Linked DNA regions of Ovis aries. The protein of the gene in region 1 interacts with the protein of each later gene in a biochemical or structural test. Links are inferred from orthologs where the notes say so. Each region holds a gene or a part of one and is shown on either strand. Other genes may lie near its edges.

Evidence for each region. The genes of interacting proteins can lie anywhere in the genome.
Region 2: the proteins of CRP (region 1) and complement factor H-like form a complex in vitro, tested with the Homo sapiens proteins (4 studies listed by IntAct, with this or other methods). The link is inferred for Ovis aries from reciprocal best matches to the Homo sapiens genes CRP and CFHR4.

What each region holds. Positions count from the first base shown.
Region 1 is NC_056054.1:110,718,864-110,725,338, reverse strand, and holds CRP (C-reactive protein), read left to right. Parts: upstream 1-2,104; 5' UTR 2,105-2,209; coding exon 2,210-2,273; intron 2,274-2,510; coding exon 2,511-3,121; 3' UTR 3,122-6,074; downstream 6,075-6,475. UniProt on the Homo sapiens protein: Displays several functions associated with host defense: it promotes agglutination, bacterial capsular swelling, phagocytosis and complement fixation through its calcium-dependent binding to phosphorylcholine.
Region 2 is NC_056065.1:5,612,564-5,618,790, forward strand, and holds the start of complement factor H-like, read right to left. Parts: upstream 4,263-6,227; 5' UTR 4,192-4,262; coding exon 4,134-4,191; intron 1-4,133.

The sequences.
Region 1 (6,475 bases):
TGGAGGCCAAAGTCTTGTTTGCATGGATTGAGGAGAAAACAGGAGATGGGGAAACAGAGATTGTCAGTACACAAAACCCTTTCCAGGAGTTTTCCAGTAAATGAGAGCAGAAATGATGAACAGTAGCTGAAGAAGTGTGGAATCTTGGGATGCCTGACATGTGGGATCCTTCCTCCCTTCTTTTCTCCTTTCTGTAAAAGATTAAATATATTACAGCATGTTTGTCTGGTTTGGGGAATGATTGAGTAAAGATGAAGAAATTAATGATGCAAAAGATAGGATACTGATGGAAGCAAAACTCTGAGTGATTAAGAGGGTCTGGGATCCTTTGCAGAAGTATAAAGGTTGCCCTTAGATATAGACAGACAGTTCATCCTTTGTCATAAGAGGGAGGCAGTATATGTAAGTAAAGATTCAGAAAGGCTGGTAGATTTGGAGATGGGAGGATGTGTAAAGATATCAGTTTGGATTTTATAGCAGGAAGACCACATTAATAGTTTTGATTTAACAAAAGACAGTATGTCTCCTTCAAGGAAATGTTGGGATGTTGGGGTAGTTAGTCTAGAGCTGATGCAGTGATTCCATAGTCAATTATCCAGGCTCCATCTATCTGCAACCTCAAATGTGCATCTCACCTATGGTGGTCGAGAAGTGATACTCTAGCTCCTATTATTATGTCTGAATACTAGATAGAAGGCAGAGGGTAAGTGGAAAGGAAGAGCACAAGAGAAGTCTTTAAAGGGGGCAACCTGGAAAATGTCCTTATTCCTTCTGTTCACATGTCATTGGCCAGAATGTAATCACATTCTCACTCCTAACTGCAGAGGAGGCTGGGAAGTTTAGTATTTGAGTAGGTGACCGTGTGCTCAACCAACCTGTTCTTACTGGATGAGAAGTGGAGAATGGGTATCGTGCAGCTGCCAGAAGCCTCTGCTACAAGAAATACAGTGGCTTTCTTCTAATTTCTCAGTAAAGAGCTGTGATTGCTGCACATAAGAATGGATGAGATTCTGGGGGTTTGAAGAGAGAGGAGGAGCTAAATAGCCATTTGAAGACTGGATTAAATAAAGACCCATAGTAAGACTGGCTTCCCAGCCAATGCAGGAGATACAAGGGGTGTGGGTTTGATCCCTGGGTCAGGAAGATCCCTTGAAGAAGGAAATAGCAACCCACTCCAGTATTCTTGCCTGGAAAATCCCATGGACAGAGGAGTCCATAGAGATTTTCTATGGACTTCCCTGGTGGCTCAGATGGTAAAGTGTCTGCCTACCATGCGGGAGACCTGGGTTGGATCCCTGGGTCAGGAAGATCCTCTGGAGAAAGAAATGGCAATCCACTCCAGTACTCTTGCCTGGAAAATCCCATGGATGGAAGAGCCAGGTAGGCTACAGTCCATGGGGTCGCAAAGAGTTGGACATGACTGAGCAACTTCACCTTCACCTTCATGCATCCATAGGACTGTGGGATGCAGTCTATAGAGTAGCAAAGAGTCGGACACAACTGAAGGACTGGGTGCATCATCTTGATTCCTCCCTGAATCTTGACATGAAGAAACTCTGACATATGGTACGTTTGTGATCAGGCACATGTTTCACTGGACCAGAGATTTCCTTGCAATGAAACTCAGCTGACAAAGAAAAAATTGTCCTTGGCTCTGTGGATGACATGTTTGTTTTTGGTATTACCCAATTTGTGAACTGGAGGCATCTGAAAAGGGTTGGCAATGATGTTCATCTCCAGAAGCTATCCTCCATGAAACACCAAGACTCGGGCTGAAGTGGGTGCTAGAGATGCACTATGATATGTTCTCAGATGGCCATGCTTCTATTAAGATTTTTTAAATTATTTTCTCAAGATAAATACCCAAGTGGAACTCTCAGAGAGCTTCTTCATTTTTCCTGTCACAAAGAATTGGTGATCTCATAGTCACAGGAGCTTGTAATAAATAACCAACATTGATTTCTCTGTTCCAGAATTATTTTGCTTCCCTTATTTCCAGAGCCCTGACACTTGCTGAGAAAGCTAGTATTGGAAAATCATTTACGTGGTGGCACAGACTCCCCCACTGCCTTGGATATAAATCCATGCAGGATGGAGCAGGTCTAGAGGCAAAGAATCTAGGACTTCTGGTTGCTGAGCTTTCAGCCAAAGACATCTTCTCCAGAAGGGTGAATCCAGATGCTAGAAGTATTGGAGGCATAGACTGACCATGGAGAGGCTGTTGTGGTGCTTCCTGGCCTTGGTCGGCTTCTCTAGTGTTTTGGGCCAGACAGGTAGGGGCTACTCCAGGATGTGCCAAGTATTTGATTTGAGTGATAGGAGTGGGGCCTAAGATTATACAAGGTGAAGTCAGAGGGACATCCAGCATGGGTGAGTGTGTGTATGTCTGTGTGTGTGTATGACACTGAGGAAAAATCAGTCTATTTCTCAATCCCAAACTCTATTTATGCAGGAATAGATCTTTGTGATCTGAGAAACTTCTCACCTCTCCTCTGCTTTCTGTCTCACAGACTTGCATAAGAAGGCCTTCGTGTTTCCCAAAGAGACGGAGAATTCCTACGTATCTCTGAAAACACAGTTAGAGACCCCACTCAAAGCCTTCACCGTGTGTCTCTATTTCTACACAGAGCTGGCCCGAACCCGCAGCTACAGCATTTTCTCTTATGCCACCAGGCAGCAACCTAACGAGATCCTCATATTTTGGTCTAAGGGTAGAGGCTATACTTTTGGAGTACATGGGAAGGAGGTATCATTCCAGAGTTTCGAAAATACTCAAGCTCCAACACACATCTGTGCCAGCTGGGAGTCCACCTCCGGAATTGCAGAGCTCTGGGTGAATGGGAAACCCCGGGTGAGGAAGAGTCTGGAGAAGGGAGCCTCTCTGGGGAAAGACGCCAGCATCATCCTGGGGCAGGAGCAGGATGCGTTCGCTGGGGGCTTTGATAGAAACCAGTGTTTGGTGGGAGACATTGGAGATGTGAACATGTGGGACTTTGTGCTGTCGCCGGAAGAGATTAACACTGTCTATATTGGTGGGAACCTCAGTCCTAATGTCCTTAACTGGAAGGCGCTGAACTATGAAGCAAAGGGTGAGGTGTTCATTAAGCCTCAGCTGTGGTAGTGAGGTTGGGCTGTGGTCCTGGAAGTGCTTCCTGGCAATTCCACCCTATGGCTCTGGACCTCCCCACCCCTGTACACACCGCTGCAGGCCTGCTCTGTGAACACAGGCTTTTGCTTCCCTGCTCTACCTTCCTTAACACCAGATGGAATTTTTAAGTATCTGGCTTGGGAGATTGGAAAGCTTTGCCCACAAGGTCAGGATTGCAGATGCTTTGGGATTTCCTGTTTTTTTTTTTTTTTTTAAATTGATTATCTTAGATTATTTTAGAGATAATCCCTTACCCTCACTTAGATAAGAAGATTAGGACCCAGCAAGGAGAAGTGATTTTTTTTTTTTTAAGTCAAAAGGTGAATCTTTGGGCTGAGTAGGGAGTGCTGGTCTCATATCTAATTTCCTACTAAGAACCCCCCAGAAAGTAGGAGAGTCTTCCTCATCTTCACAGGGCTCTTCAGTGTCAGAGTTCTGACACTGGCCCAGGTCTTCTGAAATGGGAAACCTAGTGATGCAAAGTACCCTGGAAGGGCAATCAGAAAGGCCCAATACAGAAAACCTATATTTTTTCATGGGCAAAGTGGAGGCATCTAGTTAGTTACTTTAATTGTTATTGCCAAGCGTTTACATAGCCATGTTTTTGTTTGCTCACAGTGATTTCTTCATTTTGTGGTTCTTTTGGGGAACTCTTCTCAAACACCATCTGAACCACATGGGACGGTGCATCCCCACCTGTTTCCCCAACATAGCCAGGCCACAGAGTGGGTGTGACTCACACTGAACTATCAGAGTAGCCAAAACTTGTTTGGAGATTTAGGATGGCGGGATGGTTACATGCTCCTAGCTGGACACATTATAGTCTTTCCCAGGACTGATTTATGAACTCTGGGAGTGAGACATCTTTCTGCTGGAATTCCCATCTGAGAGGGTATTAGCCTGAGACTGTCAGCAGCCATCTTGTCTACCACATGGAGAAAGACTGTGAGGAAAGAGGCCAAGCTGTGGTCAGCAGAGCTGAGGAATTGACAGAGCAGTGGAGCCTTGACTGGACTGTTTGAATTTCTGGATCTGCTTTGCCTGGAACCAGATCTACACCTGAACCTCTCATGTTCATGAACCAGTAAAGCCCCTGTTTATATTAGTGAACCTGAGCTGTTATCTGATGGTTGTATTTCAAGTGGTGACTAACTTTTCTAACAATCTTCTGAAACCAAGTCCCTGTGAGTTCAGATGAACCATTACCTGTCTTGCAGTGACATAGCTAATGGCTCTCCAACCTCCCATAGGGATTTTTTTCTGTCGAGCGCAACCCCTCTTTTGTGATAGCTGGTAATTTGTGTGAGGCCAGTTGTGGGGGTGTAAAACTCTCACTCTAGAGAGTAAGAGGTATAAACTATTTTGTATAAAATAAGCTACAAGAATATATTGTACAACATGAGGAATATAGCTGATATTTTATAGTAGCTATAAATGGAGTATAACCTCTAGACATTGTAAGTCATTATATTGTACACCTGTAGCATATAATATAGTACTGCAACTATACTTCAGTTAAAAAAACTCACTGTGTTATTACTCCAATATGAGGAACAAAAACTAAAGCTCATTGACATCCAAGAATCTGCTGTCAGTTTCAATGGCTGGAATGCACTTTCCAAGCTGCTTAAGTCCCTTGTAGAGAAAGACCCCCCAAGGGTGATGGCTGCTGGTTTCTTCCAAAGGTGTCCTTCACCTTGGCTTTTTAGTACTAAGTGAGCTGTTGAAATTACCCCACAGAAGTCACACTAAAGTATGAACTAGCCCTGTGACTATGTATCAAATAGCTACTTTGGGGAAGGCATACAGTAGACTAGTTAAACATAAAGTTTCTGGAATCACCCTGCCTAGGTTTAAATCCTGGCTTTACAACTTACTATGTGACTTTTTGTCTTGGTTTTCTTGTCTATAAAGTGAGGAGAAATAATAGTAATTAGCTCAAAGAGCTGTTGAAAGGATCAAGTGAGATCATGCGTATAGAGCACTTTAGGGTAGTGCCTGGCACATAGTAAACTCTCAGGATAGTTATCTGCTATTATTATTATTGAAGAGAAGGGGATGACAGAGGATGAGATGGCTGGATGGCATCACCAACTCAATCGACATGAGTTTGAGCAAGCTCTGGAAGTTGGTGATGGACAGAAAAGCCTGGCCTGCTGAGTCCATGGGGCACAAAGAGTTGGATATGACTGAGCGACTGAACTGAACTTTGTATGCTGTCCGCAATCAAAGGTGGATTATATACCATTGAAACACAATTTGGTGGAATTAGTCTGGGTTGATTGCAGTTGAAAGGTCTGAATCTTAACCAAAAATTAAACTCAGAATATTAGAATGATAAATTTATGAGTGTTGATTTATGAACATTGATTCCCCTAATTGACTTTTGGTAACCATTTGAAAGCATAGAAGTTAAGGGTAAGGACTTGCCTGGCGGTCCAGTGGTTAAGACTCTGCACTTCCAATGTAGGGGTCTCAGCTTTGATCCCTGGTTGGGGAACTGAGATCCCACATGCTGCACAACATAGACAAATAAATAAATTTTAAAAATGTGGAAAAAAAAGAGAAGTTAAGGATATGTTTTCCTGGGTAAATATGTGAGTGCAAATATTTTTTGTTGTCTAATTAGGGCAGATCCATATACCCTGACATTCAGTTAAGAAGAAGGAAGGGTTGATTTTTTTTTCCCCCTAGTTAAAGAATCCATTCAGGAGTTATGTCTTAATTATAGAAGGCTATCCCAACTCCCCAGGGATGTGGGCTGAGCTAATATTTTTCTCAGAATTCAATTACTGGTACCTTGCCACACATAGTTTAGTGGACACCCTCTGGTCCTGATCATTTTAGCCAGGGAAATTTTTAAAGCTGGTATTTGCATTCAGTGAACATTTAAAAATCTCAATAAAGCATTTCTGGAATGTTTAAATAACTTAGCTTACCTAAAGATTCTTCATTGTAATCTTGTTAGAGAAGATATCCCAAGGTAACTGGGGAATTATTGGACTATATAGAGTTGTTCGACATAATACAATTAAATGTTATATGACATCTACCAGAGAGGATTTGGTAGGTTAGTTCTGAGCAATCCTTTGTCACAGCGAATGGAGAGTAAGATCAATTATTCAGTAAGGCTGATGTTAATGTAGCCATGTCATTCACACTAGTTTTCCTTAATAGCAGGGATCATGCATCCAGTTTGTTCAGAAGTAAAATCAGGTGTTAAGGCTCAAGTTAAGAAGACAGAGGGCCAAATGAGATATAAAACCTACAATAAAATTACTATATAGGGTTTCCTTGAGAAAAAATGATGAAAACTATATGGAGGGC
Region 2 (6,227 bases), on another chromosome or scaffold:
GACTCAGAGCAGCCTCTTTCTTCTCTTACACTCCTACCAACACAGGTTCAGGTCTCATGAGCAGGCTTGGCTGTCCATCATAATGTTGGCTCAGATTGATCTCAAAATTGATAAAAAGTATTCACTCAGTTTTAAAGTGTTTCTAGTCTTTCTGTACCTCTGTAACTTACTCCAAAGATCCAGGCCCAGGATCTTATAATTTTTAAATTTTAATTTTAAAGGTAATGTTATTAGGTCCAACCTCACACATGGGAGTCGTTCTGAGTGATGAATTTGTCCTAATATAGGTTCACTTTCAGCACCTGTGTATCATTCCAGATGCATCTCCTTTGCAGCATTAAACCAGCTGATCATACAAAAGAGGAAGGGAACAGGCCTGACAGCAAAGTCCTGCATCTGATAATCAGCTCATCTAATGAAACTATGAATATTGATAAACTATTTAAGTAGTTTCCTCATGTTGTCAATAAGAACTTCACAAGGTGCCTTGTGGGATAACCTTGTTGTGATATAAATAGAATTGGGTTGATCTACCGTTTTCAAAGGGCTTCCCTATGGCTCAGTGGTGAAGAATCCATCTGCAATGCAGCAGACACAGGAGATGATGGTTTCATCTGTGGGTCAGAAAGATTCCCCTGGAGAAGGAAATGGCAACCCACTGCAATATCCTTGCCTGGAGAATTCCACAGACAGAGGATCCTGGTAGGCTATAGTCCAAAGGATCACAAAAAGTTGTACATGATTGAGCGACTAAGCACACAGCACCATTTTCATAAATCCATCTTAAACAAGATTAAATATTTTTCTTAAAATTCTTATGCAGATTAAAATCTATTTCATACTGCTAATACCTTCATTTTAATGGAACTTATGCTTTGAAAATTCATTTTAAATGTATGCTTGGAATTACCATTAAGGTCATTGAACTGTTTTATATCATTAGAGTTTTCTTTCATGGAATAACTGGTTTAAGTATGCTGAAATCTTACAGTGTACTGTTAGAAAGAAGATTGTTTAGAGGCAACTTAGAGGAAGTTGAGGAGTAAAGAAAGCATCCCCTGAAAATATTCTGTTCAGCTCACCTGACGTTTTTCTATATGTGATGGTTTTAGGAAAGTCCACAATGCCTTCCACACTCCTCTCTCCAAATATTAGAGCCTTAGTCCTCTCTACTGAGTGTGCAGGGCTTAGTGACCATTTCTCATGATTGCACATTACTGACGTGACAGTGTGACAAACTCATACCTGCTGTGGAAGCTTCCTCCTCCCTGTCTGCTGTCACTGGCCCTGAGGAAAGCTAGATGTCTCTCGAGTAACCTGCACAGATGACCACGTGGTCAGGTGCTGAGGCCTCCCCCAAAAGCCAAGAGAGTGAGCCAACTTGGAAGCAACGCCTCCAGCCCAGCTGAGTGTCCAGGTAACAGCGGCCCAGGCCATTACCCAGTTGCCTCCCAAACAGAGTAATACATAACTAGCCAGCGAAGCCCTTTCTTTATTCTTGACCCACAGGAGCTGTACGAATATGGAGGTGTATTGTCTTAAGCCAATGTGTTTTCTGGAACATTTGTTAATTAGGACTATGTATCTAATATAATGGGCATCCCACTTGGTGCTAGTGGTAAAGAAGGACCCCGCCTGCCAATGCAGGAGACATAGTACAGGCAGGTTTGATCCTTGGGTTTGGATGATCCCGTGGAGGCAGGCATGGCAACCCACTCCAGTATTGTTGCCTGGAAAATCCCATGGACAGAGAAGCCTGGTGGGCTACAGCCGATGGGGAGGCAAAGAGTCAGACATGACTGAAGCGACTTAGCACGCAGGCATGCAGGTATCTACAATAAGTGTTAGTTGATGTGAGTTTTACTTAATGGCTTGAATCTGATATTACAATTATTTTGCATGCTAAAAATTTCATAAGTGCACCCATAAATTATGGAAGAAAAACTTTGCTTAAATATTCAAACATTTAGCTTTAAGACCACTTTTGGAAAGAGTTCAGTTGTTAATGAGAAGAGAAGGGTTGCACTGGAATATCTGGTGAAGATTTATCAAAGTTTCACATTTCTCTTTCATATTGTATACTCTTTCTCCTCTTGTTTGGAAATATGCCTGTAGTCTTATTCTGCTGCTGCTGCTGCTGCTAAGTCGCTTCAGTCGTGTCTGACTCTGTGTGACCCCATAAATGGCAGCCCACCAGGCTCCCCCATCCCTGGGATTCTCCAGGCAAGAACACTGAAGTGGGTTGCCATTTCCTTCTCCAATGCCCGAAAGTACAAAGTGAAAGTGAAGTCGCTCAGTCATGTCAGACTCTTAGCGATCCCATGGACTGCAGCCTACCAGGCTCATCTGCCCATGGGATTTTCCAGGCAAGGGTACTGGAGTGGGGTGCCATTGCCTTCTCCAGTAATCTTATTCTAGCTGATTAATAAACCATCACTCATGTACCTGAGAATCAGGAGAAACAATTCATGTCTGCCTGCTCCTCAGCAAGAATAATGGTGATGCAGCCTTTCTTATAAGTGATCTGGGGCCAGAGCTGCTTTTAATTGTAACACTAAGGACTAGACAGGGAGCTTTATTGTGCTCCAAGTGTTGTTCACGAAGAAAATTACCAAATGGACTAAAATAGCATGCGACAAATTATGAGATGAATAATGCAGAGTGATGCACATTCTATTCACATCTTGAATGTCACGAGGGATCATAAAACTCATTAGAGTTTTCATTTACAAAAACTTGAAGACAAATGGATTATTAAGAAAATGAAAGACAAATATATCATAATGAAAAACATATAAGTTTTATATTTGGGAGTAAAATCTTTGTTTTCAATATTATTTAATTACTTATATTAATACATTTGTATAATTTGACTTTTGTTTTTCATTTTCATTGGAGTTGCTTTTAAATATTGGGTTAGCTTCTGCTGTACATCAAAACAAATCTGAATATGTTATATGAATGTGTGTGTATATATATATATATATATAGATATAGATATATATATAGATATATATATATATATATTCCCTTTTCTTGGATTTCCTTCCCATTTAGGTCACCAGAGAGCATTGAGTGGAGCTGCCTATGATACACAGTAAGTTCTCCTTAGTTATCTATTTTATCCACACCTGCCAGGACATGGAATCAACCTAAATGTCCATCAACAGAAGAACAGATGCAGAAGAAGTGGTACATATACACAGTGAAATATTACTCAGCCATAAAATGCGATGAAATTGCACAATTTGCAGAGACATGGATAGACCCAGAGACTGTCACATAGAGTGAAGCTAGTCAGAAAGAGAAAAATAAATATTGTATAATATTGCTTATATATGGAATCTAGAAAAATGCTACAGATGAACTTACTGCAAAGCAAAAATAGAGATACAGGCATAGAGAACGGATGTCTAGATGCAAGAGGGCCCAAGAGTAGAGGGATGAATTGGGAGAGTGTAAAAAATAGATAACTAATGAAAACAACTTATAAGTTTAAAAATAAAAGTGACAAGTTTTTTTAAGGTTGTCAACATTTACATTTCTCTCTGAAAAGAATTCTAAATATATTGGCACTACACTGGAAATTAAGACTGTCTTTCACATTTTGTAAAAGGAAAATATATCTTGTACCTACGCTGGTTTTTAAAAACTAACAGCGATGTTAATGACCTTTAATAGATTTATTAAGCTATAATCACAATACAGTCAAATGAACATATTTAAAATGAGATTTGAACCTGCAAAAATCACCATATGTAAAAGTATAAAAATAACCATTGTTCTCCAGAGCTTTCTCATATTACAAGTAAGACTCTCCTAAACATTTTGGAATTATAATCTACTTTTCTGTGACACATTTTCTATTCACATTTTCATGAGCATATTCACATGACCCCGTAATCTACATAGAGTACCTTTTTGCACTGTGGAACTCAGATGACATAGAAAAGTATTCATTGTGTTTTCCCCTTTTAGGTGAATGTCTGATCATTTTTCCATTAAGGTATTCTTATGGTTATCTCACAGTGCAGACTATTTTAACCAGTTTATTCAATCAAAAATACACACAAAGGAAAGTAGATAGTTATATTTAGGAGGAAGGCTGAGTGTTCACATAGGTTTCAACTTACCCTGTCCATGAGCAGTGTAAAACCACAAGGTGAGAAGGACATTGGTTAACAACAACATGTTAGGTTTTCCCAGTGGTACATTCACACAAATACTCCAGTTGCACTGTTTAGGGTTCAAAAATCTGCTTCATTTGCAGTTACCTAGTGTGACTGAATTTATGCGTTACAAGGAAGCTAGTTAATTAGTGCCATTTAGTAAATATTGAAGTTCAAAGTTTTGAAATGTCCCTACCTTGTTTCTGTTGGTAGTTTCCCAATAAGTCATTGTATTCATCACCTGATATCTATGTGCACAACTTTCTGTGGCTAATATGGACTAGCTCCAAAGCCATATATCAGATACTAACTTTCAATAATATATTTCAAGACAGTAGGTGAAGTTTTTACCAGCCATTTGGGTCATCCATATTTTCATGGACTGGGGAAAGTGAATAAATTAAAAAAAAATTATAGTAGAGCTTAAAAACAGTCATATAAATTATAGCACAATCCCTTCACTTGCGTGCTATTTATGTATGGGTTCTATGATGATCAACTTCCTAATGTTGTTAACATGTAATTGACATAAAGCACTGCGTAAGTTTCAGGTGTATGGCCTAATGATGTAATTTACATATATCCTGAAATGATTACAACAATAAGGTTTGTGAATATCCATCATCTCATTTAGATATAAAAGTAAAGAAAAAAGAATTTGTGATGAGAACTCAGGACTTACCATCCTATTAACTTTCATACTTAAGATACAGCAGAATTAGTCATATTAATCATGTTGTACACTACATTCTTAGTATTAATCTATCTCACAGCAGGAATTTGGTACCTTTTGACTGGCTTCATCCAGTTCCCCTATCTCCAGGCCTAGCCTATGGTAATCACAAATGAGATTTATTTTTCAGAGTATTTGTTTGTTCTTTTAAGTACAGTTGGCCTACAACATTGTGTTACTTTCTGTTACACAGTTTAGTGATTCCATGTTTCTGTCCATTTCAAAATAATTGCCACAGTAAGTCTAGTTACAATCTAGCAAGATTTTAAAAATTGCATAATTATTGACTAAATGCTCCGCACTGAATATTTCATGTTTATGACTCATCTATCTTGCACCTGGAAGTTTCTCCCCTTAACCTCTCCCTCACCAGAGGATCTGGAGTGCATCCCTTAAAAAGACACATACAGAATTGTTCATTGCAGCTTTATTCATAAATGGCAAAAATGCAATTGTTCCCATGAACATTGAGAAAATGGATAAAACATTTGTAGCATTTTCATATGACTGATTAATACGCACTAATTTAGAAAATGATAGAGAGTGGTTTGGGATAATCTCACAGCTCTTGTAAATGGAGAAAAATCAAACACACTCACTAAGTACATATCTTATAATTTCATTGGTAGGCTTTCGAAAGGTTGAAAACCTCATCATGAAGGTGGTGTAACGTGTGGTACAGAATGGGACGAGACACAAGGAAACCTGAGGTTGTGTTGGACATTTACTCAATTTAGTCCTGGGTAGTAGTTACACAGGCATACATGTGTGTTAAAAAAATTATCAATCACGTTAAGATTAACTTTAGGTGTTTAGCTATTTCTATGTTTAACGTTGCCTTAAAAATTACCATTTTCAGAATAAAATGTAAAGTTAAAAGTCAAAATCCAATCCAGAGGACACACCTTATGTCTCAAATCAAAAGGACTTGAAAGAGCCTTGAGTTTTTATCCCCAAACACAAGAATTTGGGGTATTGGTCATACTAGATTCTACTGAATAATATGAAATCCTATATGAAAAATTAAACAAATTTGTGAATGGGGTGCTATTTTCACTTTCAACATTTGAATGTTTCTTTTTTTATGTATACCTTCTATAAAAATAGTTGTGGACATTTCCATAAGCTAAAATTTCCATACAACTTATGTTTTCATAAAGAAAACTACAGATTGTTTAAATGTTTATCAATAAAAGAATGTTGAAAAAAGAAAAGATAAAGTTACCTGTGGCAGATTCATGTTGATGTATGGCAAAATCAATACAATATTGTAAAGTAATTAACCTCCAATTAAAATAAATAAATTTATATTTTTTAAAAAAGTT